7 linked regions of the Mus musculus genome follow. The protein of the gene in region 1 purifies or fractionates together with the protein of each later gene. This does not show direct contact. Links are inferred from orthologs where the notes say so. Each region holds a gene or a part of one and is shown in the gene's direction. Other genes may lie near its edges.

Region 1 (3,267 bases):
GAGCGCTCCTGGGGACTTCTCCCTGTCCGTCAAGTAAGTGTTTCCTGCTGGCCTTGCCAGAGAAGCTGCTGCCTTTGACTGGATTGTAAGGCTGTGGGGAAGATGTTAACACATCTTTTCCTGTGGAAATCCTAGTGTTTGCTCTAAGGCCTAGTTGTAGCAGATCTGAGGTTTTAGGTTTGAAGTGTCATGAACCTGGGGGAGCTGGCAGCACTCGAGGCGGCTTAGCCCCACTCCTCACCCGCCCTGCCTTCACTGCAGTTTCTGCTGCACTTACGGTGACCACGTGCGCATCTCCACTCCTGGTGTTCACCTGGACCCAACTCATGCTTCCCAGGAGCCTAGAGGGGCATTTTCTCAAAAATCCAACTAGGAATTGCGCATGATATTACATGCCTTTAATCCCATCAATTGAGAGACAAAGACGGGTGGATCTCTGTGAGTTCCAGGCCAGCCAGAGTCACACAGTGAGATGCTGACTAAAAAAAAGAATGGCTTTGCCCTGTCTGACCGATCATCCTTTCCTAGTTAATGGGTTACTACAGAAGCCCACCCCAAAATTCATCTCTTTTTATAAAATTTTTTTTAAAATATTTCCTTCATTTACATTTCAAATGCTATCTGCTTTCCTAGTTTCCTCTCCGAAAGTCCCCTATACCCTCCCGCTTCCCTGCTCCCCAATCCACCCACTCCCACTTCCTGGCCCTGTCATTCCCCTATCCTGCAGCATATAATCATCTCAAGACCAAGGGCCTCTCCTCCCATTGATAGCCAACTAGGCCATCCTCTGCTACATGCAGACACAAGACACAAGCTCTGGGGGGTACTGGTTAGTTCATACTGTTGTTCCTCCTATAGAGTTGCAGACCCCTTTAGCTCCTTAGGTACTTTCTCTAGCTCCTCCATTGGGGGCCCTGTGATGACTGTGAGCCTCCACTTCTGTATTTGCCAGGCACTGGCATAGCCTCACAAGAGACAGCTATATCAGGGTCCTGTCAACAAAGCCATCTGCTTTCCTTCCTTTGCCTGAACTACTCCAAGTAGCAGTAAAACAGCTCAGGGAGGGAGACAAGTCAGTAGGTAGGGGCTGGACCCTTGGGCAGGACTGGGCCGTGATGTAGTGAAGACAGCAGGAAGGCCAGCTATTCCTTCCATCAAAGAAAACCATCTAGGAATGGAGACCTAGGGCATCAGGTAGGGTTATAAGTTCTGGGTCAGCCTGGGCTACATGAGACCCAGGCTAATAACACAGCTCAGTGGGTAAAGGTGCTTGTCGTCCAGCCAGGTGACCTATGTTTGATTCCTAGGACCCACATAGTGGAAGGAGAGAACTGATTTCCACAGGAGTTCCCCTGACCCCTGCCCATCACACACACGCATATCTAGAGAAGTGTCCTCTTAAAGTTAAACATTTAAAGATGTTAATACGTCATCACTTTAGGAATAAAATATAAGAGGTAGCTGGCTCGGTTGGTAACTACCACGAAACAAGAGGATCTGAGTTAGGGTCCAAGGGCAGATGCTAGAGAGGGAGATCGTGTGGAGCTGTAGCCAGCTAGCCCAGCCTTACCATGGAGCTCCGGGGTCAGTGAGAGGCACTTCAGACAGCCAGTGTTGACATTGGTTTCCACACATGTGCACATACATGTGCTTTCACACCCCATGGACATGACACGTACACAAGGAAAACATGAACTACTGCCTGCCTTTAGCGAAGCATCTTCACAAGGGCTTCCATCAGCACCAGACTCTAAGATAGCACACAGTTTCGAGATCTTGGGAGTCTGGTGGGAAGATGTGGTAGAAGTGACCCTGCACTTGGGAAGCAGGTGCATCCCAGAAGGCTCTTGGGCCTTTGGAGCCTGAGCCACAGTCCTCTCAAAAGCACCTCCCTTGCTGCTCAGGGAACCGCAATGAAGTCGCTGGGTGCTTGGTTTTGCTTTCCTCCGTTTCAGTCACCACAAGCCAGCTGGAAGTTCCAGAAGTAACTCCTGGATTTTAGATAACTTTTATGATGGCATATTGTTGAAATTGTTTCAGTGAAAAATAACTTTATCAGACTATATGTGTCTATAGGGGAAAACAGTGCATCTGGAGTTTGGTATCTGGTTTCAAACTTGCCCTGGGGTTTAGAAGCACTGGAAGTCCAGTGCTGCCATCTGCTGGTTTGTCTTTAGAACCACTTTAAGAGACTACTGGAAGAGATTCAAAGGCTTGGCAGTGAACAGGAATCAGAAAGAAAAACAGTAAGAAAATTCCTCGGTAGCCGGGGCGTTGGTGGTGCACGCCTTTAATCCCAGCACTCGGGAGGCAGAGACAGGCAGATTTCTGAGTTCAAGGCCAACCTGGTCTACAGAGTGAGTTCAGCCAGGGCTACACAGAGAAACCCTGTCTCGAAAAAAACAAAAAGAAAGAAAGGAAGGAAGGAAGAAAGGAGAAAAGAAAAGAAAATTTCTCAGTGAAAAGCATAGCTTTGGCATACCTGTAACCTCAGCAATGGGAGGCTAATGCAGGGATCACCAGATCACCATGAGTTCTAGACCAGCTTACACAGTTAGTGAGCTCAAAGCCAACCTGAGCTAGTGTTTGACTATCACCCCACTTTTTGAACTGTTAAGGCAGATAAAGCTGTAGCCTCACAAGTGGGCTGTGTTAGTAGATCATAGACATCTGAGGGTTAGCCTAGTGGGTGGGCTTCCACTGTGTTACTCCTGTAACTAGTCATCAGCAATCAGGAGGGGCTTAGGGGAGGCTCCTGGGACGGTCTGCATTCTCTCCAGCTGGATACTCAGGGTGCTATGAAGCTCTTGTGACCCCAAGCTCTGAAAAGCTATGCCTGACAGAGAAGTTCCCTGGACACCTTCAGGTTTGAGGCAGCCCTGCAGAGCCCTGTGGCCGCTTCATGGTTTTTCTCCCCATCCTCAGGTTTGGAAATGATGTGCAGCACTTCAAGGTGCTCCGCGACGGAGCCGGGAAGTATTTCCTGTGGGTGGTGAAGTTTAATTCTTTGAATGAGCTGGTAGATTACCACAGATCAACATCCGTGTCCAGGAACCAGCAGATATTCTTACGGGACATAGAACAGATGCCACAGGTAAGCAAAGAGCTTTACTCACTTCCAGCAAGTGTGAAGGCCCAGGCGTGACACCACAGCGACTTCCTGTGTGCTCAGGCCGACCTCATGGCAGTGAGGCTCTGCAGTTGGCACTCAGGTGGTTGAGTCCCTGTGCAGCCAGCCTGTGAGGGATGCACTCAGTCCTCCTCACG
Region 2 (4,366 bases), on another chromosome or scaffold:
TACCTCCTTAAAAGAGCGGCTAAGGAGCTCCTGTTCCGTGTCTAGGTAGAGCCTACACTACTTCACTCAGTTAAGGACAAGCTTGACTTGGGTGCAAGGGTGGGCAATTCACAAGTCACATAACAAAGTATGTAATCTTGCAGAGAATTTTAACAAGGTGTTTAAAATTCTTTGGAGACAGCATTAAGACAATCTTGCTGGGGAGAGATTTTCCAATTTACACACAGAAACAAAATACATAAATTCTGATCGTGGCCTGGTGATTATCATAATTTGGGGAAATAACCGAACTTGTGACGTGAAAATACAACCCCAAGGCTGTAGGAACTCTCTCTGAGAATGGCACAAACCAACACCTTTTCTGGCTCTCATCAACACGGGAAGTGGCTTGGACACCCCCCAAACATCATCCTACCCCCACAGGAAGTGAGTTACAGTTCCCCCTCCCCTATGACAGCATGTCTCCCTTCCCCCAACCGGAAGTGAGGCGCCCCCATTCAGTGGGCCTTAAACCAAGACAAACCAATAACAGCAGCAGCAAAAGAAGGATGATCTTCAAAGGGGGAAGGACATCTCGACTGTTGCCACCCCCATGCTCGTCTTGCTTACTAACCTGCTGACGGCAGGAGCAGGCAGGGGCCTGGGGACTAATGAAAGTCCCTTGCACAGAGGACAATTCCCTCAGCCCCTCGCAATCGCCTTCACTCTTCACTCCGTCGTCTCACAGCTTGACAGAAATTCCTCCGCAGTACTTTATTTTGGTGTCTTTTCTTACTCTTTACCTAATCACTTAGTCACCTCCAGATAGGTAACTTCTTTTAACGTGGTAATACTGAGAATTGTTCCGTTGAGGAGAGACGTGAAATGTTATACCCGATACTTTCAGAGAAATGAAGGGATTATTTTGCCCAATGCGGCGAAGGACTACGTGACCACGCAAGGTGAGACACACTTTCGCGAAGGTTCTTGGGAAATGTAGTTTTCATTTTCATTGCTAAGGCTCTCAAAAAATAGTGGGACTTAAATTTTAATTACTGTATACTGGACTCTTAGAGGATAGTTATTCTGTACTAGACGAATGGCTGACTTAAGGTGATTCGGCCCCGAAAAAAATCCAAATCTGCGCTGTTTCTTTCCACTGGCGTTTAATTGAACCCAAATTCCCCGTCACATGGACTCAAGGTCCCTGCCGCCCCGCCCCCTGGCTTTGGCTCCACCCCTCAGCCAATCAGACTTTCTCTAGCTCGTGTTCTCCGGATATTGGCACTCAGGGAGGCGTGGCCTCTTGTCAACTCCTCCCATGGGGCTGAGAGTAGAGCTCGGAGACCGCCGAGGTTTGGTGCGGGCACGCGCGGGCGAGCGCGCGCGGTCTGAAGAAGTGAAGCGGCAAGGGTGCGCGCGGCGGGGCGGCGTGCAGGGTTGGGAGGAGCGAGCGGACTGGTGGGCTGGGCGGACGGAGAGCGGCCGGGAGCGCGCTGTGGACTCCGCGGCCGCGAGTAGTTAGTTAGTTGTGTCAGTTGCTCGGTGGAGGCGGCCGCGATCACCAGAAAGGGGACGGGACAGGAGGCAATGCTGAATATCGCAACGGCTTGTGCTCCCCTCAGGTAACGGGGGCAGGGTTGCCCACGTACCCTCCGGTCCCTTTCCCACACGCGCTGGCTTATGGGGCCAGGGTCGCCGAGAGGTGAGGACGCGGACCTAGGGGGGATCGGGACTGGGTGGCGCCGCAGGGGCTCGGCAGCCCGTGCGTCCTGCGGGGCGCGGGCTGCAGTGCCCCGGCCACCCACGCGCCCCGCGGGCGCCGCGAGCCCTCTCATGCCCCCCACCGGCCCAGGCCTCGTTACCCTGGCTGCGATGGTCCCGGGAGCGCGGCGCCCCCCAGAGGAGGGAAAGTTGGAACCTGGCGGCTAGGGACTTCCCGGGGCTGGGCTGCGAGGCTCCAGGGGAAAGTGAAGCCTTAGAGGAGCTGGAGATGTGGAGGCTGGGGCAAGAAGGGCTTCTGCCTAGTCTGTATGGTCGCCTCACTCCCAGACTTTGGAGGATCAGGCTCAGCCTTGCCTCAGCAGTCAGGACGGAACCGGTGGCTCTGTGCCTGCTCACTTTACGCTCTGGCCAGGGAGCCCCTAATGTGCGCAGGCTTCCTAGGTTGCTTAGGGGTTTGGGATTTTGAGAGGCTGGGTTAGACATTTGTTTTTCTTTGCCCTTTGGCTTATGGGTTCTTGCCAATTTCCTTTCCTCCTTCGAAGAGGACTACCCATCTGAATTGGGTCCCCTTCTCGTTATCCCCCATCTTATGCTCCATTTGTTGGAGAGCTTGATTTTGTTCTTGGACTTCATTAAGGACTGCTGAGAGCAATATCAAAGAGTAGTCCGCCCTCCAGTCCCCCTCCCCCAGGCCCCATGTCTGCAGTCCAGTTTTTAAGGACCCAAATTGAGGAACCAGAGCTGTGGAATGGAGTTATTGGATGGCTGGTGTTGAAGGATAGAGATGAGTTAGAGGAAAACTATGATTTCATCTTTATTGGCCTTACTATAGAAAACCCAGTACATTTTTCTTTGCCTCTGTTGAATGTGGTAAGAGTACACTCTCAATTAAATACTTGGTGACTTACATAAAAGACTATTTTTAAGCCACTGGATGATGTGCATGAACTGCTTTTTCACCTGAGTCGGAATTGCTTTGAGTATTCTGTTTGGTGGCCTATCTGTTGACTTGATCTTTTTCTTTCTTTCTCTTTCTTTTCTTTCTTTCTCTTTTTTTTTTTCAGCCACACTGTCCTCCCTTTATCTACCTTGGCAAATTAAGTATGTAGTCAAGAGAACACATATTGCTCTCTGCAAAGAGGAAAAAAAAAAAAAAACCCAGAAAGCCCAAACTTGAATTATCCACAAGGGTAAAACTTTCCATGAGCAATCTTGGATACTCACTTCATGATGGCTTCTTTTGTAATCTCAGAGCATTTTAGATCTTTCAATTCACTGACTACCCTAATTACTTTCCAAAGTGCCTGGCACTTTCTTTGGTGACTTTTTCAGTAAACTATAATTGCAGGTGAGGTACATTTTCTTGGCTTCCAAGTTAGGAGTTAATAGCCTTATCACAGAGATTAACAGTTAACAATGGAAGCAGAGTTCATACTACTGCAAGTGAGTTTTGGCAACGATCAGGTCACAAACTATGTGAAAAAACAAAGATCCCCTCCCCAGAGTTGTCAGAGGGGAAGAAGAGAAAATATTTTATCGTGTCTCTATTTGGGAGAGAGTAGTATGACTATGTTATGTGGGGGAAAATGGCAAATTATTTTCTTTAAAGCTTTTTGATTTGTGGTCCTCCTTTCTCCCACCCTTTCTTTAGGGACTGACATTTATGTTTGGCTAGTTTCCAGTGTTGTAAGGCGTGTTTTGGTGAGAGGAAAAGATAAGCTTGATTGAGTTGTTAGGGTATTGCTTATTCATTTTGTTTAGTAATAGTGCAGAAAACTTACACAGTGGTGTTTAAACCCCATTAACATTCTGTCAGAATTTATTTTTAAGAGTCTGTCCTGAGGCCCATAAAGAAATAATGCCACTTCATAACTGTTTTCTGACAGTCACATTAAAAAGTACGTTCCTGAAATGCATTATATGTGAATGCATATAAACATTTATCTTTGTACATTTATGGTAATGTAAATATTTAAGTCGGAGAGCTTAAAAACTTTTATTTGCTTATTTGCATACATGCCTTTTAACAGCCAGCAGTGCCAACCATATTTGCCAAAGAAGTATCAGCCATAAATTCAGGCTTTGGCACATTTCATATAATAACTCTTCTAAATTGCTCCATGGTGAAGCATCATGAGATTAGCATTTGCTTCAGGAGAGAGATTTGTTGTTGTTTTTAACCGTAATGATGTGCTATTTAAGGGGAACAGGTGCTGGGCTCTAGCTGTTTGTGTTGTAACCTGCCAAATCCTACTCTTTTGTTGGATGGGTTGTTAAAGCAATTTAGGAACCACATTGTGGCCCCTGGCTTGCCAAGTGTGAGTTTGAGGCTCCATATCACTTTTGCTAATCCCCATTTTTTTTTTTTCTTTCAGTGTAAGAGGCAAGTGTGGATGTGAACTTTATTTTCTCATTTGTCTTTTACTGTGATTCCTATGCCCCAGTCTAGAACTTCTGATACAGGCTGCCTCCCTGCTAGCTGGGTTTTCCTTGGAGAATTCAAATATTGTTGTAACTTTCAGGCCAAGTTCACATTTGTCTGACAAAAGACAAGTATTTGAGTGTCTTCTAAAGTGTTAGGCCTGGTGCTAGGACCTGAATATGTGTAGAATGATGCAGTTTTTGTCAGCAGCTTATACCTTAGGAGGAGAGCTAGCTGGTA
Region 3 (4,524 bases), on another chromosome or scaffold:
GCCTCCCTCTGCAGCGCTGAAATCACAGGTGTGTGCTACAGGCCTAGTGGAGCCACTTTCCCAAAGTGGTTGGAGAAGCGCATGCGTATTCCTGTCAGCACCTGATGAGCTCCACCTCCTCACCGGCTCTAACAATGCTGGGCTTTTTTTTTTTTTTTTTTTTTTCCGAGACAGGGTTTCTCTGTGTAGCTCTAGCTGTCCTGGAACTCACTCTGCAGACCGAACTCAGAAATCTGCCTGCCTCTGCCTCCCGAGTGCTGGGGTTAAAGGCATGGGCCACCACTGCCCGTACATCTCCAGTCTCTTGATGATTAGTTTTAAAAGTAATTATTGGCTTTATATATTTCACACCTTTGAACTGCTTGTCTGTGTAGTTCAGGCTAGTCTTGAACTCCCCCTCCTACCTCAGACCTCTTGAGTTCTGGTATACCACCCACAACCCCTGGATGGTTCAGCCTTTTAAAAATTTTTTAAATTTTTCTTATCAACTGGGAAGCAGTCTTTGCTGTAATGTGGGTAGCAATCACTGGTCATCTGGGCTGCAAAATCTCTTTCTTTCTTTAGCTGCTTTTTGGCTTCAGAATGTAAGTTTTCCCTGAAGTTTATATGGAAGGATCATTTTAACTGTGTTAGCAAGAACATTCCAACAGTTAAGAGCAATGACGAGAAATTTGCCTTCATAAAGCCATTTGAAAGCATTGACGTGCTGCAGGATCGACCACATAGATCAATGGACACAACTCGGAAACGGACAATTTGGGCAGAAAATAATGCGTGGACAAATTCCTGATAGATTAATGGCAAAGTACATTTTTTTAAATGAAAAAAAAAATCCTCTCGTGGTTAGTAACCAAAATAAAACAAATGAAATCTACCCTTAAAATAATTTAGTGACAAATATCTGAGATGTGTGTGAGTTAATTATTCAAAGGTTAAGAGTGGCTTAGACTGCATTCCAGGCAGAGGTACTAGCCAGAGCAAAGGTTCAGAGGTTGGAGGACAGCCGCGAGCAGGCTCCAAAATCGAACTCAGGACGCCCACACGGAATGCAGGGTTGAAGCCATGACCGCCCCCACAGCCATCATAATTATGTAAAATACCACTTTTCCCATATATGGTACTTAATATCTGTTCTCCTGGTAGGACAGGACGAAGGGAAAACACGGTTCGCTGGGCGGAGTGTCAGAGCCTCAGACCTCCCCAGTACGCTCCCTCCGGCCCCGGCGCGGCCCAAGCTGCACACCAGAGCCGGGACCAGGAGCCCAGCGCGCCTGAGCCGCTTGCTTCTGATTGGATGAAATCCGCGTCAATCCTGGTCCTGTAACCTGGCTGTCCATTGGACCCGCCCAACAAGGCGTGGCTCCCGCCTAGGAAGCGCGGGTGGAAGGTGGGGTGGGCGGAGGTGGGGACAGATGGGGAGGATGAATCTCAGCACTCCGGCTTCCATCTCTTGTCTGTTTATAGGCCGAAAATCTGTCAGTTTAGGCCAGACTCCTGTTGGATTGGGCAGTGTGGGGAGAGGGCGGGGACTCTTGGAAGCTCCACCCACGAGCCGGCGGCGAGCTGTAGACCCGCCCTCCTCTTGGAAGGGCGGGGCAGGGAGGGCGGCGCGCACCAGAGCTGGGTGCGGTGAGGCGCGCAGATCACCGCGGTTCCTGGGCAGGGCACGGAAGGCTCAAGAACCTGACCTGCTGCAGCTTCCAGTCTCGCGTTCGCCCCACCCCGCCGCGCCGCCCGAGCGCTCGAGAAAGTCCACTCGGAAGAACCAGCGCCTGTTCCCCGGGCAGACCCAGGTTCAGGTGAGCGAGCTTTGCCGGTATGTCCCGCCCCGGAGCTGCCGAGCGCGCGCGCGCGGCGACAAGACTCGAGTCCTTTGGGGCGGACGGCCCTGTGGTTCTCGGCCTCCGCGTGGCGGGTTTCAGCGCGGTCGGGTGCGACCGGACTCCGCATCCTCACCCGAGGGGTGATAGGCAGCGAGGCCTCGGGGTTAGGGAACCGGGGGACGCAGTCCCCGGCCCTACAGGATGCCCTTCCCGGTCGGGGCACTGGGAGCTCGGCCTGCTCCTGTCGCCTCTGCACTCCCGCCTCCCCGACGGCCAGCTCCGGCAAACTTTTTAACCCCTTCCGGGACGCAGCAGTCCCGGAGATCTCGGCCGAGCCGGCCGGATGCGTTCGTGGGCACGGGGCAGCAGCTCCTTTGTAAGTTTGGCAAAGGGAGGTAACGGGCAGGCGAGGACCGCTTGGCAGCTGTCAGGGCGTCCTCCTGAGTCAGGATCGGTCGGTCCCGCCGCAGACATTGCGCCCGGCACGGTTTCCGCCGTCCGCTGCGGACTTCCTCATTTGTCCGTCAGCCCTTGGGCCGGGAGGGGGCGGGGAGAGGTACTCAGAGTGCGTGGGAAAAGGGGTCCCAGCTGCCGAGGGGCTCAGGGCGCAGGAAAAGAACCCCCCCGTCTGACCTCATTCAACCTTGGATTTCTATTGCCCGAGGTCAGAAGGCCTGGGTCTGCCGGCAGCTGCCCCGTCGCCCGGGCAGGCGTGCACCTGATTTCCACCGCACCTTGGGACGCCACGCCCGGGCCAGTCTCTGGGAGCTGGCCCTGACTTTAAGACCAGGCCGGGCAGCCGCATCTTTTATGTTTGATGAGAGGCGGAGTTTTGAAGACATCCCCCACTTCCTTGCACTAGGGTCTTCACCTCATCCTGTTCTGGAGCCACGCCTAAGGCAGGAGCTGCACCCCGCTCCTCCGGGTCCCCATCTCTCCCAGGCAAACTGAGTCAAGTACCCTCTATGACTTGCTTGCGGGCTGTAGTGAAACTGAAGGCTGGGTGGGCTCGGGCGGGTGCCTAAGGCCCCACCCAGCGGTGTTAGGGAAAAGGTCCCTGGGAAGTCCCAGGTCTTGGAGACCCGGAGGCTGCCTCGGCTGGGCTACAGGGAGGTCCATCGAGTTCTCAGTTCTCTGAGCGGTTTTCTGGATTAGCAAGATTTCAAAGTAACTTGCGTGCTTCCTACAGCAGCACCTATACCAAAATTGGAACGATACAGATTAGCATGGCCTCTGCGTAAGGATGACACGCAAATGCATTGAGTTCCGTATTTTTTAGCCAACGCAGACTGGCCCAAGTATCTCTAAGAGTGGCTCACTCTCAAGCACGACTTAGGAGGTTTCTGCCTCCCAAAGGACTCCCTCCTCTGCTGTATGCCAGCCAGTCAATCTCAGGACCTCCATCTAGAACTCTCAAGCCACTAGGCAGATCTGTAACCCGCCCCGGAGCCCCTCCTAAGCCTTGACCAAGTGAAAATAAAGCTTTTTGAAACAGCAAAAATAAATAAATAAATAAATAAATAAATAAATAAAAGGTAACTTGTTCACAGAAACATTGTAGCCATTTCTGACTCCACTGTCTAGAGTCCAAGCTGATAACTTCACCTGGAGGCCTCCCTCCCTTTCTATTAAGGAGGCAATTTGCTTGAAGCCCCGTGTAGACAATCACTCAATATCAGTCAATTTATATACCAGGTTGTTATAGGTGGGGGTAGGGGGGAAGGGCCTATAGATGTGTAATTGAGCAAATATTTAACCGGGCTTCTGCCAGGGACTTTGCCAGGTGGTGTGTGTGGGGGCGGGGTGGGGTGGGTGTGAATTGAGTAAGACCTGGCCCCTGCTCACCGGCACTCTGAGACAAACCAGTGACTAGTGTGAAGGGGAGATATCAGGAACCCCAGAAAGGTACTGTGAGGCATTGGGCTACCCTGGGAGAGCCTGCTGGCCTCCTGAAGAGACTTGTGTTCTGGGGAAATTTGAAGGCATTAAAGAGTGGAGTGGTAGACTAAGATACAAAGACAGCTTGTGCTGTGTCCCAAACTAGCCACAGACAAAGGACTCAAGGAATTCCTAGGCTCAGGGGGCCACTGCTGTCCAGGGCAAGCAGGGAAACCACCATGAGGAAGGAAGACATTTCAGGCTTGGCAAACCGAGGCAAACGCGTGGTGAAGGAAAGTGGGGAGTCATTTAGTGGATAATTGGGGAGTAGTTAAAAGCATCGAGGGATTGCTGAGTGTAGTTTGAGAGGCAGTGTGCTTGCTGTGTGGGTGACACCCCAGAGCTTTGCTCCTACTGCACTCAGCAGGTTTTAGACGGCCGGGGAGGTGGGCAGAGCCAGGTTCCCCTCAAACTAGCATTAGCAACTTGGGTTGGGAAGTATCATCTAGCCCTGGGTGGGGAAGGGAAGCAGAGAGTAAGGGACTCATAATGGGGCCGCTGGTCTGTTTTTTGTTTTTTGTTTTTTTTTTGAGACAGGGTTTCTCTGTATAGCCCTGGCTGTCCTGGAACTTTGTAGACCAGGCTGGGGCTGCTGGTCTGAAGGGCAGGAGAAGAGGGGGGAGAGAGTCAGGGACTCACAGTGGGGCTGCTGGTCTGAAGGGCAGGAGAGGGGAGAGGAAAGAAAGGCCTGGTTTTCTTGTTTTTCTATTTTATTATTTTTTAAGTTTTTTGAACTTTTTAACCAAAGGGTTTGGAGATGAGG
Region 4 (4,350 bases), on another chromosome or scaffold:
TCTCCAAAAAAGTAAAAAGAGAACTAACAGGGGGTGTGACTCTGTGGTTGAGCCTTTGCCTTGCGAGTTTGAGGTCCTAAGTTCAAACCCTAGGACTGCAGAAGTGTGAAGGGAATCAAATGAATAAGGAAAAGAAATAGGGTGGAAGATGTACACTGCCCAAGGATGCCTGCCCAAGGATGCTCCTCACACTGTTTAAGGGACTGAGAGTCTGGGTTGGTTTTGTTGTTCTTGTTGTTGAAACAGGTCTCACTATATAGCGCTAGATATCCTGGAACTCACTGTATAGACCAAGTTGGCCTCAAACTCACAGAGAGCTGCCTGCCTATGCCTCCCAAGTGTTGGGATTAAAGGCATGGGTTACCATGCCCAGCTAGGACTGGGGTTCTAATTTCAGTATTATAAAACAAACAAACAAACAAACAAACAAACAAACCAAAACTAACCAATCAAAACACCTCAGACAATAAACCCTTAAAAGATATAAGGTGCTCTGTCCCATCTCCCTTCTCCAGCAGCCTGTGTCCCTTGCTAAGGAAGATACCAATATAAATTGGGCAGCTTGTTTCCCCTCTGGTCTTGGCTTGGTAGTATTTGCATCTTTTTTTGTATTCATCCTGGGGTTTACATACACAAGGTCCCATAAGCCTGAAGGCTGAGCGCTCCTAAAGTTTAAAGCCCTCCCTGTGAGCGTCTGCCCTTGTTGGGACCCTGGCCATAAACCCTAACCTTTAGGAGATACCTTCCCACCCCACCCCTCCCTGCTGACAGTCAGGGTATAGGAAGGAGGCCTAGGCCCATGATGACAGAGCTGCACAAGGTTGCTTTGTGGGGGCTCTCAGCTGTGATGATAGCATCTCCTTTGGACAAGGAGTCTATTGACTACTGTTCTTTGGGTCCTGAGGGCTGGCAAGCAGAATTCAAAAGTCATTGGCTTTGAAACTATTTAGGTCTGAATCCTGCAACTCACTAAGGGTAAGACCTGGGGGCAATTCCTCAAACTTCTTGGCCTCAGTTTCCTTGTCTGTGAAGTGGGGATAAAGATAGTGCCTGAGGAATGAGGCCCTGGTGACCTGTAACTCACAGGAGGCATGAAAATGACATTGTAGCAATGAGTCTGGCAGGCTGCGACACTCCATTAAATGACGGTGCCACTGCACACGATCATTATTAGACTGTGCCTAAGAATAATTCTGAGTAGAGGCAGCTGCTGGAGGAGGAAGGGTTGACCTGATAATGTGGATATTCACTGTGCGTGACTCTTGACCTGCCACACGTGTGCCTTACCTCTTGAGTCATGAATATTTACTGCCTTGCCCCTGTGCCTTTGTTGGCAGACTGTGGGAAGTGGGCCCTCCCCCACCCTGCCACCCTCCAGCTCCTCTTCCCTCGCTCTGAAAAGAGAAGTTCTAGTGAGTTCCCCTAAGGGGTCGGCCGCGCCCCTTCCTGTCTCCGCCCTGCTGGCTGCCCCAGGCCAGTAGAGTGGTAGCCCGGGGAGCAGGACTGCAGGTTGGCTTTGGAGGCCTGGGCTCTGAGAGCCTTGCCTGAGGCTCATCTCTAGAGTTTGTACGTGCCTGCCCAGACAAACTGTTCCCTCCACATTTTCTGCAGCCAATTCAGTGAGAACCCCAGGATGGTGAGGTAAGGGCCTGGGACCCATGGAGGATAGGAAACAAGGGTGGCTGGAGCCCTGGGGATATTCCCTCACTGCCCTGTGCACTTTTAGGTGGTTTCACCGGGACCTCAGCGGGCCTGATGCAGAGACCCTGCTGAAGGGCCGGGGAGTCCCTGGGAGCTTCCTGGCTCGGCCCAGCCGCAAGAACCAGGGTGACTTCTCCCTCTCAGTCAGGTGGGTGGCCCTCCCTGCACCTTGGCAGCTCATTGTGTGGGTCCGGAGCATTCCTGGGTTCCCTGGGTTGTGTTGTCTCCTCATGATACATTTCTTCCCTTCTGTCCCTGCCTGTCGCCCTAGCATGTGCCCATAACTGTCTATGTCTACTCCATGCCTATGTGCTTTTGCATCGAGACCCCTGTCCCCCCAAGCCCACCCCGCTGCTGCTCATGTATCTCACTACCTGGTGGTGCCTCGCAGGGTGGATGATCAGGTGACTCATATTCGGATCCAGAACTCAGGGGACTTCTATGACCTGTACGGAGGGGAGAAGTTTGCGACGCTGACAGAGCTGGTCGAGTATTACACGCAGCAGCAGGGCATCCTGCAGGACCGAGATGGCACCATCATCCACCTTAAGTACCCACTGAACTGCTCGGACCCCACCAGTGAGAGGTGAGGGGCATTGCAGGTTGGCCCTGTCCCTTGAGATAAGTGGACATCCAGACCAGGTGTCCTTCTGTTCCCAGTCCGTTCTTCATCCCTGATCTTCCACACCTGTTCTCTCAGTGTTCTCAGCCTCTTCCCTCTGTAGGCTGATGATTCCCATGTATCTAACCAATCCCCTGTCCCCTGAGGAAGCCAGAGAAGGGTTCCCCTTGCCTTCCTGCAGGGTTCCTGCTGCCTAGCAACCTCATCCTGAGAGTAACAGAGAGGCCACTCCTTGTCTCTGGTGTTTCTCATCAGGTCGGCCCTATTACTAGAAAGCTTGTCCTACCATGGAACTCTGGTGCCTTCTTCCAGCCCTCTACACAGCCTGGGGCTCTAGGTCCCTGTCTTAATAAGGTCTTAGAGGTCCACTGGTACTGGGGTACTCAGGGACTTCTCTCAGCATCACACTGAGGTGGGGCTGGACAGAGCTTGGTGAAAGCAAGGTCGCTGAGGTGGTCACAGGTAGAGAAGGGCCCAGGCTTATCTGACTTAAGGAGACCCTCAGGATATCCCCAACTAGTGCTGCAAAGACACGGCCCCCATAGCTGGGCTGGCTGTTCTCTTGTGGTCTTCTCAGAGCATGTGCAAAGGGAAGGTTATGGAGATAAATGTCCCTCATTCATTACACTGGGGCTCGTCTTAGCTGTATAGCACAGGGACTGACTGGCAACCCCTATTAACTCAGGGTTTTCTTATGGACTCTGGGGCTCTGCGTACCTGTTCCTGTCCTGTGTCTGTGTATTTACAGTTGAAATGATTCCGAACTTGATCCCCACACCCTTCTCTGCTGGGGCCTGAACCCGGGGCCTTGTCTGAGTTGAGTGAGCGCTTTGCCACTAGCTACCTTCCACGCAGTTTTAAAGTCTGTTTTGAGATTCGTGCCTACAAACTTAGCTCAATAGTTTTGTTCACAAGTTACTGACTAAAACTGAGGACTGAAGGTCTAGGGACTGTGGCTCAGGTGGTGAGTGCTTGCCTGCCATGCATTAAACACTGGGTTCTATTCCCTGTCGTGCATAAACCTAGTGTGAGTGACACGTGCCTGTGAGCCCAGGTGGAGGCAGGAAGACCAGAAGAAGGTCAAGTTTATCCTCCATTCCATAGCAAGTTTGAGGCCGGATAGGGCTCCATGAGACCTTGACTTAAACTAAAACAAGCGGAGTGGAGGTGGTACCATAGGCCTTTTATCCCAGCACTCAAAAGAGGCAGGGGAAGGTGGATGTCTGGAAGTTCAAGGCCAGCCTGGTCTATCAAGTAAGTTCCAGTACAGCCAGGGCTCCACAGAGAAACCTTGTCTTGAAAAACCAAAACCCCCAAACAAAACAACAAAAAAACTCCAACCCAAACAAACAAACAAACAACCAACCAAAAAAAACCCTCAAAACACAAAGAAAACCACAAACAAACAAACAAAGAAGCTGGAGGACACTCCCTAGAAGGCTTTCCTCTTCTGCTGGTGAGTGGGAAGGGAGGGCCTGCCCCAGGTTGTCTCTCCTCTCCTATCCTACCTGCAGCCCTCAGGATGGTTTGGCCTCTCTCTCAGATTCGCTTTGAGCCCCTTGTTTTCTCTTTGTTGCTGACTCAAGCCAGGATGCGCCCTGCTAGAGTAGACCATGGAGGTACAGCTGAATGGTGGCTGCAGTGTTCCCTGTGATCAGGAAGGAGGTGGGAGCTAAACAGGTGTTAGGAGAACAGGCCAGGGCAGTGGGGAAGCACAGGACACCCTGTGGATGATACCCTCTGACAGGGCTGCGGAGGACTCCAAGGGACACTTTGGATGGCCATTTGGGAAGAAGCTGTCTCATCCCTAACCTTAGTGTGTGTGGAAGCCATGACCCAATGGCTCCTCTCTTTGCCCCTCCTCTTCTGGGAAATTTGCATTTGTCCCCTCAATAGTGAACTCTCTGCCTGTGGTCTGTTCACATTTGCATGGAGACTTCCTCATCCTGTCCCTGAGGGAAGGAGCTGAGCCCCCTCACATTGCTTGGGGTCTCTGGCCTGTTCCTGAGGTGGGCTAGGATGGCCCA
Region 5 (4,418 bases), on another chromosome or scaffold:
GCCTGGACCCTTCAACTTCTGTTTGTGTTCCATTGTAGCAACCGCTCCAGGATGGCAATGACCCTGACCCCTATGTAAAGATTTACCTCCTTCCTGACCCTCAGAAAACCACAAAGAGGAAAACCAAGGTGGCCCGGAAAACCTGCAACCCTACCTACAATGAGATGGTGTGTGGAAAATGGGGGTGTGAAGGGTAGGCAGGGTCTTAAGCCGCTTTTTGGATGATTTATTTATTTATTTGGGTTTTCGAGACTCAAGCTCCATGGGTAGCCAAGGCTGGCCTCAAATTCCTGCTCCTCCTGCGTGCTGGGGTTCTAGAGGGGTGCCGCAGGACACCTGGCAACCAGCCGTCCCTTCTTATAAGTTAGTCACACTTGCTCATTGCTACCTTCTGCTCAGTGACGGCCTTGGCAATTGTGATATGAACTGTGCTTTTTCTTTTTAATAAATGTGCCCATGATTTCCAGAAGAGGGAATCTGATCCACTGGAGTTACAGGCAGTTTCGAATTTTGAGACAGCAAGCATTTTTTTTTCAAAGATTTATCTATTTAGTTTATGTGAGTACACCATAGCTGTTTTCAGACACACCACAAGAGGGCATCTGATCCCATTACAGATGGTTGTGAGCTCAGGACCTCTGGAAAAGCAGTCTGTGCTCTTAACCTCTGAGCCATCTCTCCAGTCCCAACAGCAAGCACTCTTAAGCACCTATCTGCTTATCCAGTCCCCATGTATTTATACCTGCCCCTTTCCTTTTATGATGACAGCTTTTAAACCCTTAGAGTTGCAATTCCCCAGATGGGACTTGGGCCCTAATAATATGAGGAGGAGGGAGCCTGCTGCCCTGTATGGAGAATGATCAGAAGCTCCAATAAATATAATCCCAGCATTTGAGAGGCACGGGCAGGATTGCTGAGAGTTCCAGGCCGGCCTGGGCTACATGCTACCCTAGGGACTGGAGCATCTCTTTCTGAGTTCCCTGTGTCTCACGCTCGCCTCTCTTCCCAATGCCCATGCTTGCAGCTGGTATATGATGGGATCCCCAAGGGAGACCTGCAGCAGCGGGAGCTACAGTTGAGTGTGCTGAGTGAGCAAGGATTTTGGGAGAATCTGCTTCTCGGGGAGGTGCACATCCGCCTTCGGGAGCTGGACCTGGCCCAGGAGAAGACCGGCTGGTTTGGACTGGGTTCTCGAGGTCATGGAACCTAATGAACCCACTCCTGGCCCAGACCTGCGGCTGCGGCCCAGAGCTGGAAGAGAAGCCTCTACCCCACCTAACTCCTTTGCTAGGAAGGAGCAGAACCCTCGGTGGCCTTCCCCACGCACGGTCCATGTGGACCTGACCTCCGTGAGGGGGCTGGAAGAGTCAAGCGCTATCCACTGCCCCTTCCTCCGCAGGCTGCACTGGGGTGGGTTGTGCTGAACAGCCCCCCTCTCCTGCCCCCAGAAGCTGTGGGCTTGCAGCAGAGTTTTATGTTTACCTTGTGTCAAGGGAGCAATGCCTGCTTTGGGGTATGTGGAGTGCGGGCTATATGAAGTAGCACTTAGAAAGGGAGGGTGGGTGGATATTTTATTTTTATTTTTAAAAAATGAAATAGTAATGTTGTCCTAACTGGGACAGGAAGCTTTGTGTGAGAGGGGCCTGCCATGCCTGGGAAGGCAAAAGAGAAAGACTATTTGGTTTTTGGGTTTTGTTTTTTTTGTTTTGGTTTGGTTTGGTTTGGTTTTTTGTATGATGAGAGTTCTTATTGGACTTTTTCTCCAGGATTTTTGGGGGTTTGTTTTCTAGCTATAGGAAATATCGGGGAGGGCCCCGGTGGGTCCTCAATAAAGCCCTCCCTCTCTCGGGCATACTGGGGAGGGGTGGGGAGGACTAACTGACAGCCGGACTGACGCCCACTCTGGGCCATCTGATTTTGCCTCCAAAGGAGGGCATCGTGAAAACTACATGTGTAAGGAAGGGCCTTCCATTGTAGAGTTCCGCCAAGGACCTAGATTCAGGGACCTGTGCTCTTTAGGGCAAAGTGTTTCCTCTCCTCTTCCCCCTCTGCTTGGACTCAGCTCAGGCGCCTTCCTGTCCCCTCTACCCCTGTGTTCTCTCGGCCCGCTATGGGTCACCCCGTCCTGGAGAATGCACTGGGGTGCTTCTGTGCCCCATCTTGTTTGATGGGATAAAATGCTGCTACCCCTCAGCTCTAGCCACGCCTGTAGGGCAGGCACGTCGTGCCATTTGCTGCAGCTTCTGGGAAATGTCCCCTGAGACCGTCTACTACTTTCTCTTCAAACCCTGTTTCTGTCACACTTTAAAAAGAGCTTCATTCTGTAGGGTCACAAAGCTGTATAGGGCATAGACAAAGAGATGCCCAACCCATAGCAGAGTGGGCTGGAGTGAGCCCTGGTCAATGCAGTTGTTTCTTCTGGATATTTTCCTGGCTGGATTGGAGCAGCTTCCTCTTTGGAAAACAAACAAAAGATTATTTCAACCTCTTTCTTTCTTTCTTTCTTTCTTTCTTTCTTTCTTTCTTTCTTTCTTTCTTTCTTTCTTTCTTTCTTTCTTCCTTCCTTCCTTCCTTCCTTCCTTCCTTCCTTCCTTCCTTCCTTCCTTCCCTCCTTCCTTCCCTCAAGACAGGGTTTCTCTGTGTAGCCCTGGCTGCCTTGGAACATAGAGGTCCATCTGCCTCTGCCTCCCAAGTGTTGGGATTAAAGACATTTGCCGCCACCATCTCCTGGCTTATTTGGCTTCCTTATGTGGTGCTAGGGATCAAACCCAGGACCCTTTGAGTGCCAGGCAAGCCCTGCACCGCACCACCAAGCTTCGTCTCCAGTCCACCTTGCGTTCTTCCTTTCTCACCCTTCTCTCTCTTGGGTTTCCAAAGAGTTGTCTCGTCTTAAAGGTAACAGCTAGGGACTCTGTTTAACTTTTTATGTTTTTTTTTTTAAGACAGTGTCTCACTATGTAGAGCAGGCTGGCCTTGAACTCATAGAACTCTGCCTGCCTCTGCCTCTATACGGGAACTAACTTTTAAATGAAGAGTTAGCAAGGACAAGGCAAATAGTTTCTCTGTGACCCCATTTCTGGAGAGAGAAAAGCTCCATTGAAGCCACATGGAAACAAGAAAGGTGTTTGTTTTGTTGTTGTTTATTTTGCTTCTGGTTTTTAATTTTTTTTTTTTTTTTTTTTTATGAGAGAGGGTATCATATAGCCCAGGTTGGCCTCAAACTCCTATGTAGATAAGGATAGTCTTAAGCTCCTGACCTACTTGCCTTTCCAACTCACAGGTGCTAAGATTACAGACATGAGCTGCCCCATCCATTTTCTCCTTAATTTAAAATGACAGGCCAGTGAGGTGGCTCAGGACTTGCCTGGTCAACTTAAGTTTGATCACTGAGACCTTTAAGGTGGCGGGAGGCAACCAACTCCTACAAGTTAGTTTTTTTTTTTTTTTTGTCCTTCATATGCACTACACAACATGTGCACACACATACACACAGATAACATAATTTTAAAATGCCAAGGATAAAGCAGCCTGATGAAGGCAGGAGAGTAGAGCGGGAAAGCAATGGAACCTTCCAGATGTTTGGACCATAGACGAGCTGCTGGCTTTTTGCCTGCAGCTCATTTTCTTTTGACCCTTTATGTCTGACTTAAAGAGGTCTATGTACTGTACCCACTTCCCACACTCCTTTATCTTCTACTTTCTCTGGAATTGTATTTTTTAATAAACGACATTTGAGAAACAAAGCTATCATTATTAAAGATCGGTGGATGTGCAAGTGTTCAGGTAAAAGCATGGGATGTGTGTTTCGGTGCCCCGGTGCACCACAGTGGACATTCTTACAGTCTTCAGCTTGTAACCAAAGCTTCTGGGCGAAAGCCCTGATTTGGCAGGCCTAATGGGCTGGGCTTGGCCACTGTTCTGGGGCGCCCATTGAAGGGATAGTGGTGGCAAAAGGCAAGGCGGGGAGATTTGTCCACTGTGGCCATATTGGAAAGAGTAGGAAGGGGTTCCTGTGACACACGCCCCCCCCCCAGTTTATCCTCAGGATACTGACATGACCTCTAGGTCAAAACAGGAATATTCAGGGGGTGAGGGGCAGAAGTATTCATAGTAAAGATGTCTTCCTCAAGGTGTGATCTCTTTTTTTTTTTTGTAAGATTTATTTATTTATTAAATGTAAGTACACTGTAGCTGTCTTCAGACACACCATATAGAGGGCATCATATGCCATTACAGATGGTTGTAAGCCACCATGTGGTTGCTGGGATTTGAACTCAGGACCTCCAGAAGAGCAGTCAGTGCTCTTAACGGCTGAGCCATCTCTCCAGCCCAAGGTGTGATCTCTTATGATCTCAGCTGGAGTCTTTGAAAGATATTCCAGTAAATTGTCAATCCTTCTCTATTGTTCCTGCTCTCCA
Region 6 (4,511 bases), on another chromosome or scaffold:
GTTTATACAAACAGCATTTTTTTTTTCCATCTAATAAATAGACCAGAGTTGGATAGCTGCTGGCTTTGTCTCAGGTGCTTAGCAACACCACACTGTCTCCATCTTCTACTCTGTTGTAGATAGTGGTGGTAACACATTAGTTGTTTCTTGGTTAAAATCTAGGTGTAGCATCACTAGATACTGAAGCATAAAGAGAATAGGGAATGGAAGGGCAGAGGCAGACAGACAGACAGACAGACAGACAGACACACAGATACACACAACTCCCACTTCCAATTTATCAATCCAATGGAGGTCGCCAGGTAACAAGTGCCTTTACTAGCCAAGCTATCTCATCTATTCCTACTATATTAACTTTGATAAGGTTTATTATGGTTGTTGTTGTTGTTGTTTGAGGGGCTTTGCTTTGTTTTCTTTTGGTAGTACTGGGAATTGAACTCAGCTAGTGTGCTAAGAAAGTCTCGGTGATCAGGAAAGGCACTGGCACTATAGTCTTTAGTCTTTAACTGGTCATCACTCTGGATTCTGTCCATAGAGACGATGGGGAGAGCGGCTTAGGTATTTGGAACGTGGCTCCCAGAGACTGAATCCTGTTGCAATGTCCAGAGAAAAAGGATGCAAGAAGGACCACTTGTGCCATGAGACACTGGGTTCTTGAACACAACAACTTCATGATGTTTTCAGCCCCAAATAGCCCCACTCTGCAGACACCATCACTTTGAATCAAGCATTTAAAAAGCTGAATTAGTATATCCTCCAGAAACCGCCCAGCTTGTAAGATAAATGACTGGCCATGCAACTAGTTTGTGCTTTGGGGCTCCGTAGAAGACCTGGTGGGATTTCTACATGGCCATGGAAATAATTCTTCTCTGCAAATTGAGCTTTCCTTCCTTTTCGAACCAGAACACAAGTATGCCTAAGATGTGAGAGGCAGGAAATGCCAGCCTGAATTGCTGCACTTGGAGCAGCTGAGTGTACACAGGAGCCTCAGGCATAAATCTCCAGCATTCTCCAAGCTCTGGACAGCCGGACAGGGAAATGGGACAGACTCGCTTCACTCTAGATTTCAAACTGCCTTCTTCCCACTTCTGCCCCACCGGAAGCTACTTACCTCCCTGTGTTACCAGGATATTTTGTGCTCACCTATCTCTGAGAGCAAGCTTCTCTACCTCCCCCTCCCGCCCCCCAGCTCTCTCCACCCACACACCCACCCCTGCCTCTCAAGCCCAGGTCTGAATTGGGTGTCCCTCTGCTTTGTACACGTTGGATGTTCTCTTGGCTCCGTATTGTAAGTACCTGCTTGTGCTCATCGGGACAACCGGCTGTCCCATTCTCCTTTTGTCCCCTTGCATATACGCGCTGTCTGGGGCTTAGCGAGGGCTCAGAAATGTTTGTAATATATAGACGAGGTGGCGTGCAGGGGAACTCCAGCCCTTGGCCCCATTGTCCCCGTGGCTCACACTCGGGACTCTGTACCTGGGAGCTGCGCCGCCGCGCAGCCAGGACCGCCTCCTGGGTGCCAGAGCGACCCCGCCCTCTGGACCGCGTCCCCGTGCGCTGGGCGGCGAGGCTCCAGGGCGGCCGCCAGGAGCAGGTGGGGGCGGCGGCTCCGCCTCCGCGTCCCGGCAGCGCTTAAGCCCGGCTGGGAGCGAGCGAGGAGCGCAGAGTCCAGCTTAGCCGGGCGCGCAGAAGCAACGCCAGGCACTGTCTGCAGCCCAGCCGGGATCCTCGAGGCGACGGGGACGACGGAGACGACGGGGACGACGGAGACGACGGGGACAGCGGGGACGGAGGCGCCAGCTAAAGTCCAGTCGGCCGGGTTACGGCCAGCTGCAGGTAGCTGCTCTGCTCGCGTCCGGGCCCTGGGTTAAGTAAGTGGCCGATTGGGGTTGTCGCGGAGGGTATTGGGGACAGTCCCGAGGTAGAGTGGCCTCCCGCGTTGTCAAAGACGCTGGGTGAGTGAGAGTGCCCAGGACCCTCTCCAAACTGTAGTCCCCAGCCGCGACTACGTCTGGGAGCTGCTCCGTGCAGCCCTAGCGGCAACCACTCGCTCCCTGCCCGCCACGGGTCGGAAAGGGACCATGGCTACACCAGGTCACCTCAGGGCTCCCTGGTGACCTCCCAGGACAGCACTCTTCCGTTATCAGCTTCTGGCACGGAGGCCTCTTAGTCTGATGCCCCAAGGGGGCTCTGCTTCCCTTCCCCCACGTCACCCCCCACCCCTCCCCTGAGAACAAAAGGGCGGATCTTGCTTGTGTTGGGGATGTTAAGGAAGGGTCCCTGGCGATTAGGAGAGATCTGGGAACCTGCACAATCAGACAAGGACTGAGGATACTGGACCATTTCCCAGAAAGAAAGCCAATTCCTGAGGGAAAAAGTGACTTATCCAAGGTCACACAGTTCCTGGTGACAGAGTCGGGCCAGGAGCTGAGTCCTGACTCCCCGAGGCTTATCTGTAAGCCTGCCTAGGTCAGGAGCCAGAGAGTGTATGTGTCTGTCTATCCATTATCTCTAGCCATTTACATCTGGCCACAAATGGCCTTTAAAGTCCTTTGGAGGTGTGCGGGACTGGGTAATTGTGGCCATTCCCCCGGATACCTAGCCAGGAGCTCACGGGGAGCAAGCTTGGGAGAAGAACACGCTCTCCTGTAGGATGCCAGGCATCCATTCCCCTGTGGAAACAATGTCTTCTGTGTGCTTGGAGTGTCTGCCATGAGTGTGAGAACCTGAGTTGGGTAGATGTTCTGCCCAGAAACCCAGGAAGCCTGTCTAATGGCCTCAGGAAAAACCAGAAGTATCTCTGACACACACACAGTCTGGGGACTCTCTGAGGAAAGTTTCCAGTGGGACAGTGGTATTCCTCTTCTGTGCCTGGGGTCCTTGGATGTAAGTGAGAGCATTTGTTGGGCAGACTTGTGTGACTTTAAAAGCTTGTGTGCCTCACTGTCTTTGCCTTCGTCACCTCAGAGAGGGCCAGGAGAGGGTTTCTTGCTGCCAGTTAGTATTATAATCATCAGACACTCTAGCCTTGTTTTTAATGTTCACTCCTTTTACTTTCTATGTAAGTATTTTTCGGGCATGTATGTCTATGCACGACTCTGTGCCAGGAAACCCCTAGAGGTCAGAAGAGGGCACTGGATCCTCTGGACTAGAGTTAAGGATGTAATGTCCCTGAACCACTATGTGGGTGCTGGGAATGAGTCCTAGTGTTCTACAAGATCAGAGTTTCCACTGATAAACTACCTGTCCAGTCCCAGCCTTCTCCTAAAAGCTGTCCTCTCTAAACTGTAAAGTAGTGGTAGAGGTCAGAAGTGGACTGCCTTTGGGCTTCCTACTGGCCTGGGCAGACCTTCAAGGCACTTTAGGTCTAGACATGCTCCCCATACATAGAAACTCAGGAAGTTGTGTGCTTTAGACTTGTGCACATCACTTGGGGCTTTTTTTTTTTTTTTTTTTTTTTACTTCAATAACAACGTAAGTGGATATTTGATGCTGAAGGGCACTGGGCATGGCAGGGCACAGGCTGCTGAAGTCTGCCAGCTAATGTACTTTAGAGATGCATTTTAAAGCAAAACCAAATCAGGAAAACAGGGAGAAGGACAGGGGAGAGAAAACCAGTGGGGAAGTAGCAGGAAATGGCCAGGCACTGTAGATGCTTCCATATGCATTAACTCAAGCCCTGTGGTTCCTGTAACTATTGTGCCTTTCCACAGATGAGAAATGCAAAGAGACAGGGGTTAGCTGAGTGTGCCGAGGACAGGGACCTGGGTCTGTACACTTCAAACTGGAAGTGCACCGCCCACATCCAATTGTTGGTGCCCAAATCTGCGCAGAGATGTCAGGCTGCCTTGGTAGAGCTGCTGTATACCCCTTTTTAGTCCTTCCAGGAGCCTCGGTTTCAGGCACTTGGGAGTGTGACTTGGTGCTACACTGAGTCAGCAGGCAGCAGAAGGGGCGGAGGAGAGCGCGTGTGTCTAAGAACATTCAGTTTCAGGAATGGGAGACAGCCAGCTGGCCCAGCCTGGCAACGCTCTTTTTAGGCGATTATTGTTCAGCAACCGTAGAGTACAGGTTGAGATTTTGCAGTCATTCCAACACACACACAAAAGGGATAATAGAGCCAGAGAGAGAGAGAGAGAGAGAGAGAGAGAGAGAGAGAGAGAGAGCCGCCACATCAAATGCAATTAGCACTGAAGAACAGACAGGGTTTTCACCAGGTAGCCTCAACTTTCCCTGCCTTCTATGCTTGACAGATATAATAGATATCAGTGCTAAAGTTTAAACATCTATTAAAGGGCAGGCAAGATGGCTTAGTGGGTAAAGGAGCTTGTGCCAAGCCTAAAAACTGTAGTTCAACCCTCAGAATCCACGTGGTGAGAGAATTGACCCTGCAAATTGTTTTCTGACCTCCAGAAGTTCAGTGACACACACACACACGCACACACGCACACACACACACACACACGCGCACACACGCACACACGCACACACATACAAACAAAAAACAATCA
Region 7 (4,460 bases), on another chromosome or scaffold:
TGGGTAAGGGTGGGTTTGACTACATGACCACCATAAATCCATGACAGTAAACAAGTACTAAGATACCAATAGAACACTTGAAGAGATTTTGAGTCATCGAAGCCAAAAATATGTGCCCACCAAAACAAGTGCCAAGAAGATTTCAAAGAAGGAACTGTTCTTCAACCATTTTTTTTTTCAGTGCAGCACACACACAGGCTTTGTCCCTGGGGCATGTAAGTCTGGGCTTACTTATGTTCCCTAAATAAGTGCTCTTTGTGTGTGGATCACGAGAAAATGCATACAGTCTCTGTTCCGTTAAGGTGTTAATTTAATTTCTTCATTTATTAGCTATAAGAAGTTATTTCTCAAAACAGAATTAGAGTGTGTCTGGAGTCACGTGTCATCTGAAATTTGTTCTGTTGTCGTTTTTTTTTCTAGTTTTTTCAATTTTCTTACATTTTTATTTAATTTTGTGTTTTGCCTGCATGTACAGCTGTGCACCATATGCATATGTGGTGCCTACACAGGCCAGAAGAGGGCGTTGGCCCTCCCTCCCAGCCCACTCTGGATCCCAAGTTGGAGTTAATGAGGAGTGGGCCGCCACGCAGGTGCTGGGAATCAACCTCTGAGCTGCAGCCGGTGCTGCTAACAATTGGGCCATCTTTCCAGTCCTTATCTGGTTTTCCAACTGAAAATCTCTGTAAGACTCTAGAAGTAACTTTACCAGTATACATAAAATTGGCAACTTCATTTCTACCTTAAGAACAAGACTGGAACTCAAATTACAAAAGAGATTGAAACATTAACCAAATCACTTCTCATAACTCCTGCCCAATATTTTGGGCATTGTTAGTTAGGCCTCTTACATTTTAAAGCCTCTTACATTTTACACTCCTCTTTACAATGCTGTAAAAATGGTTTACAAACATTTCTCGGGTGTCAAATGCAAAACCTATCCTCTTCCAGCTACAGATAAGGACACTGGGATGTTGCCACGTATGCCTTGTCCCAGATCACCTACTTTGGAAGCAGAATCAGACAAAGGTCCCTAGCTTTGCTTTAGCATCTCTAAAACTCCTCCCATTAACACTTGCAATATTGCGGTGATGCCCAGAGACCACAGAAACTTCGAAAGGAATTGGGGTTTTCAAAAATGGCTCTGGGAAACCCTGGTGGAAGACAGGTTCTGCAGGTGTGCGGTCCAGCCTCGGAACTGGTACCACCGGGAACAGTGTGTGGAACAGGACGGTGCAGTCGGGTGTGCCGGCATTTAGTTAACCCGGCACTCCCCCACCTCCTGCCCGGGCGGCCTCAGTTTACCTGTACCGAAAGGAAGCAGAAGGCAGCGCTCCGGAGGCCTGCGGACAGACCCTCCTCCTCTAGTCCGCCGGCCACTGGGCGAATCCTGGCCGAGGCTGGGCGGGTCAGACGCCGCACGAACGCCTCCGGCGCCCCGCAAGCAGCTGGGAGGCGGGGCGCGGCGGCGTCCAGGGTGTTGTGCACTCGGCGGGCCTCAGGGCGGCAGTCTGGGCCCGCGGCCTGCGTTCTCGGGCGGGCCAGGCTCGATCCGCGCCGGCCGCGAACGTGTCTCCCGGTGACGCAGCCGCGGGTGGGGAACGTGGTGCGGCGGCGACTGTGCGCACGGCCGTCTCGGAGAAGACGCGGGTCTCCGACGCCGGCGCTCGGCCAAGAACGGACGGCCTCTCGGGTACGGCCGGCGCGGGGCCTGGCGGGACCGACGAGGCCCGGAGGCTGCCGGGGTTGCGCCCCGTGACGCCCCCCGCGCTCGCTCTCGCCGGTGCAGGCGCAGCTGCGAGCCGAGGCTCCATGTTGGGAAGCGCCGCGCGCCCTCGTTAGCGGGAGACGGCTGCGGCGGGCAGAGCCCCGGACTGGGCGCAGCGAAGATGGAGGCCCCGCTGAGGCCTGCCGCCGACATCCTGAGACGGAACCCGCAGCACGACTACGAGCTGGTGCAGAGGGTCGGCAGCGGCACCTACGGGGACGTGTACAAGGTGAGGCCCCGGCCCGGCCTGCGAACGTGGGGCACCCCCGGGATGCGCCGGACCACAGCGTCCGGCCAGGAAGCGGCCCGGAGCCCGCCGCACCGTTCCGAGCACCCTGGGTTCCCCATCGGTTCTAAGGCTAGCGACCGGCAGACTTAACCGCACCTTCCAGACCACGGCTGAGCTTTTTTTGTGGTTTTAAGGCGTATTTATGGTATTGAAGTTATTCCGGAGGATGGTTTGGTGTTGATGTGGGGGGAAAATGCTTCGCGGAAGGCGGTAGATAGGAAAGAGTATTGTAAATCTAGACCTTTGCGTCCTGTACTGGTTTGGGTGAACTTGCCTTGAAAAAAATCTCTGTGGAACCGGACTCTAAATTGTCAACTGTAAGTAATCTGGTTCTGGAGTAAAAGGATTTGTGTGTAAACATGACAGCCTGTAGGAAGATGTCTTTGGGGACCGGTGAGGTGGCTCAGGGTGTTAAAGGCCCTTAGAGCCAAACCTTACTTAGGACCCCAGAACGGTCCCCGGATTCTCTTGGTGGAAGCACGGATCCCCCACACATACACACTCACACACTCCCAGGAAATAAACAAAGTGTAATGAAATTTAAACATATTTAGAGGAAGACCTTTGTCACCTGGCAGAAGTTTAGGCATTTTGTATCTGGTTGATAATAATGAATATAACTTATGGGGTTTTCCTACTAAACTAATTCCTCTCTATGGGATTTATAGCATTCCATAATCATGAGTGGATAATTACTGCTACCCTTTTTACTGGTCTCTTATATTAAGACAAATAATAATAAATTTGTAATCTGCCGTTACACAACAACAAAAAACATGCCATAGCAAAGCAAACCGATTTCTTAAGTCTGCTAAGTTTTTGAAGGGTTCAGAGGAAAACACTGTCCAATATTCCCTCATGGCTTTTGTTCTTTGTCCCAAAGGGGCAGAGTTAGTGCAGTTCCTTATGGGGATTAAGAAAAAGCTTATTTTTGACCTGGGTGTTGGTGGTGCACGCCTTTAATCCCAGCACTCAGGAGGCAGAGGCTGGTGGATTTCTGAGTTCAAGGCCAGCCTGGTCTACAGAGTGAGTGCCAGGACAGCCAGAGCTGCACAGAGAAACCCTGTCTCTAACACCCCCCCCCCCAAATAAAAGCTTATTTTCCTTTTGCAACAGCTTGATATTTTGACCTATGTATGTATCAGTATGTTCCAAACAGCAATCTGCATAGAGCCCTGATGGCTGTGTTTCATGAGTAATTGCTTGACCCCACTGAGGTATGTTGACTTGCACAGGTATAATGCAAGGAAAACATCTCTTTTCTCTGCTTGTTTTTGAGTAATTTTTTGCTGAGAGTAGTACCTTGGGGTGATGGATTCTGAGGTAAGAACTCTGGGTAGGCTTTTTACCCCTGAAAACGAGGCATTTGGGCCCAAGCAGACACTGTTCTAGCAACCGAGCAGTGCAGCAGCAGTGAGCAAGGTCCTGACTCTGGCCTCGGTTACCTTTGATGCAAAGTGCACAGTTAGAATGGAATCCCCTTCCTTATGGAAAGTTAATGGTAGCTAGCACAAACGTCTCTATTTGCTCATTACCCATTTTAGGAAATGCTTGCTCTTTAAAAAACAGAAACTCCTGTTTGCTTTCTTGGTCCCATTTTAAATCATCTTTGTCTTATGATTCACTGAAAGTTAGACCAGTTCAGTTCCGTTCATAGTAATTATACAATACTCTAAATTCTAGCTTTTGCCCCACCCTACCCCCTTTTTCCCCTGGTACAGAAAATTTAAAGGGAGTATTTCCCCCACACAAGGATCTTGCTAAGACCTCCACGGTTTTCTTTTCAGAGCAGCTCTCTGGAAGGACTGCATCCTTCCTTAGGAAAGCAATGTTTACATTAAAAGGACAGCTGTCTGCCTGCCTGCCTGCCTGCCTGCCTGCCTGCTTGCCTGCTTCTTCTTACCCAGCTGCTTCCTGGTCCTGCTGCTCACTTCCACAGCTCAACAGACATCAGAGGCTGAAAGCTTCCCACCCCACCTGGGCCTCCCACCTTTCTCAATCAAGCTCACGTTATCACGTGTACTTGAGGGCTAGGCCAGCCTCTGAGTCCCACGCAGCCTTTAGACACTCGTGTGCCCTTCTGTTTGGTGTGTTCTAATTCCTGAGGATCACCTCCCTCCCCCATCCTCCACCTGTTGCCACCATTGCTGTCTAGGAAAACAGTTCTTGGTTCTAGTAAGCCCCAGCCCCTCACCCTGACCCCTAATCTCACCCACCACTCTCCCTCTCCCTTTTGCTCTTACCACACTGGCCTGCAGGCTTTCCTTAAACAACAATAAGCATCTCCTCCTTTGGAGTCTTTGTTCTTGCTACTTCCTCTGTTCAGTATCTTCTCCCAGACAGTGAGCGTCTTGCTTCCTCCTTCCCTTTAGACGAACCTGACCGTCTTTGTACTTGCTGCTTGCT

The links.
Region 2: the proteins of Grb2 (region 1) and Peak1 purify together in Homo sapiens (co-immunoprecipitation; 3 studies listed by BioGRID and IntAct, counting the BioPlex papers as one, with this or other methods). This does not show direct contact. The link is inferred for Mus musculus from reciprocal best matches to the Homo sapiens genes GRB2 and PEAK1.
Region 3: the proteins of Grb2 (region 1) and Myh9 purify together in Homo sapiens (affinity purification with mass spectrometry; 3 studies listed by BioGRID and IntAct, with this or other methods). This does not show direct contact. The link is inferred for Mus musculus from reciprocal best matches to the Homo sapiens genes GRB2 and MYH9.
Region 4: the proteins of Grb2 (region 1) and Ptpn6 purify together in Homo sapiens (affinity purification with western blotting; 4 studies listed by BioGRID and IntAct, with this or other methods). This does not show direct contact. The link is inferred for Mus musculus from reciprocal best matches to the Homo sapiens genes GRB2 and PTPN6.
Region 5: the proteins of Grb2 (region 1) and Pik3c2b purify together in Homo sapiens (affinity purification with mass spectrometry; 5 studies listed by BioGRID and IntAct, counting the BioPlex papers as one, with this or other methods). This does not show direct contact. The link is inferred for Mus musculus from reciprocal best matches to the Homo sapiens genes GRB2 and PIK3C2B.
Region 6: the proteins of Grb2 (region 1) and Wipf3 purify together in Homo sapiens (affinity purification with mass spectrometry; 3 studies listed by BioGRID and IntAct, counting the BioPlex papers as one, with this or other methods). This does not show direct contact. The link is inferred for Mus musculus from reciprocal best matches to the Homo sapiens genes GRB2 and WIPF3.
Region 7: the proteins of Grb2 (region 1) and Map4k5 purify together in Homo sapiens (affinity purification with mass spectrometry; 7 studies listed by BioGRID and IntAct, counting the BioPlex papers as one, with this or other methods). This does not show direct contact. The link is inferred for Mus musculus from reciprocal best matches to the Homo sapiens genes GRB2 and MAP4K5.

Annotation. Positions count from the first base shown.
Region 1 is NC_000077.6:115,646,537-115,649,803, reverse strand, and holds part of Grb2 (growth factor receptor-bound protein 2), read left to right. Parts: coding exon 1-33; intron 34-2,925; coding exon 2,926-3,094; intron 3,095-3,267. UniProt on the Homo sapiens protein: Non-enzymatic adapter protein that plays a pivotal role in precisely regulated signaling cascades from cell surface receptors to cellular responses, including signaling transduction and gene expression.
Region 2 is NC_000075.6:56,415,179-56,419,544, reverse strand, and holds the start of Peak1 (inactive tyrosine-protein kinase PEAK1), read left to right. Parts: upstream 1-1,494; 5' UTR 1,495-1,604; exon of another isoform or gene 1,605-1,684; intron 1,685-4,366. UniProt on the Homo sapiens protein: Probable catalytically inactive kinase. Scaffolding protein that regulates the cytoskeleton to control cell spreading and migration by modulating focal adhesion dynamics. Acts as a scaffold for mediating EGFR signaling.
Region 3 is NC_000081.6:77,839,232-77,843,755, reverse strand, and holds the start of Myh9 (myosin-9), read left to right. Parts: upstream 1-1,580; 5' UTR 1,581-1,799; intron 1,800-2,999; exon of another isoform or gene 3,000-3,099; intron 3,100-4,524. UniProt on the Homo sapiens protein: Cellular myosin that appears to play a role in cytokinesis, cell shape, and specialized functions such as secretion and capping. Required for cortical actin clearance prior to oocyte exocytosis. Promotes cell motility in conjunction with S100A4.
Region 4 is NC_000072.6:124,730,237-124,734,586, reverse strand, and holds the start of Ptpn6 (tyrosine-protein phosphatase non-receptor type 6), read left to right. Parts: upstream 1-1,432; 5' UTR 1,433-1,633; coding exon 1,634-1,641; intron 1,642-1,726; coding exon 1,727-1,849; intron 1,850-2,092; coding exon 2,093-2,287; intron 2,288-4,350. UniProt on the Homo sapiens protein: Tyrosine phosphatase enzyme that plays important roles in controlling immune signaling pathways and fundamental physiological processes such as hematopoiesis.
Region 5 is NC_000067.6:133,104,949-133,109,366, forward strand, and holds the end of Pik3c2b (phosphatidylinositol 4-phosphate 3-kinase C2 domain-containing subunit beta), read left to right. Parts: intron 1-38; coding exon 39-167; intron 168-1,024; coding exon 1,025-1,210; 3' UTR 1,211-3,740; downstream 3,741-4,418. UniProt on the Homo sapiens protein: Phosphorylates PtdIns and PtdIns4P with a preference for PtdIns. Does not phosphorylate PtdIns(4,5)P2. May be involved in EGF and PDGF signaling cascades.
Region 6 is NC_000072.6:54,428,025-54,432,535, forward strand, and holds the start of Wipf3 (WAS/WASL-interacting protein family member 3), read left to right. Parts: upstream 1-1,661; 5' UTR 1,662-1,836; exon of another isoform or gene 1,837-2,197; intron 2,198-4,511. UniProt on the Homo sapiens protein: May be a regulator of cytoskeletal organization. May have a role in spermatogenesis.
Region 7 is NC_000078.6:69,890,187-69,894,646, reverse strand, and holds the start of Map4k5 (mitogen-activated protein kinase kinase kinase kinase 5), read left to right. Parts: upstream 1-1,483; 5' UTR 1,484-1,886; coding exon 1,887-1,994; intron 1,995-4,460. UniProt on the Homo sapiens protein: May play a role in the response to environmental stress. Appears to act upstream of the JUN N-terminal pathway.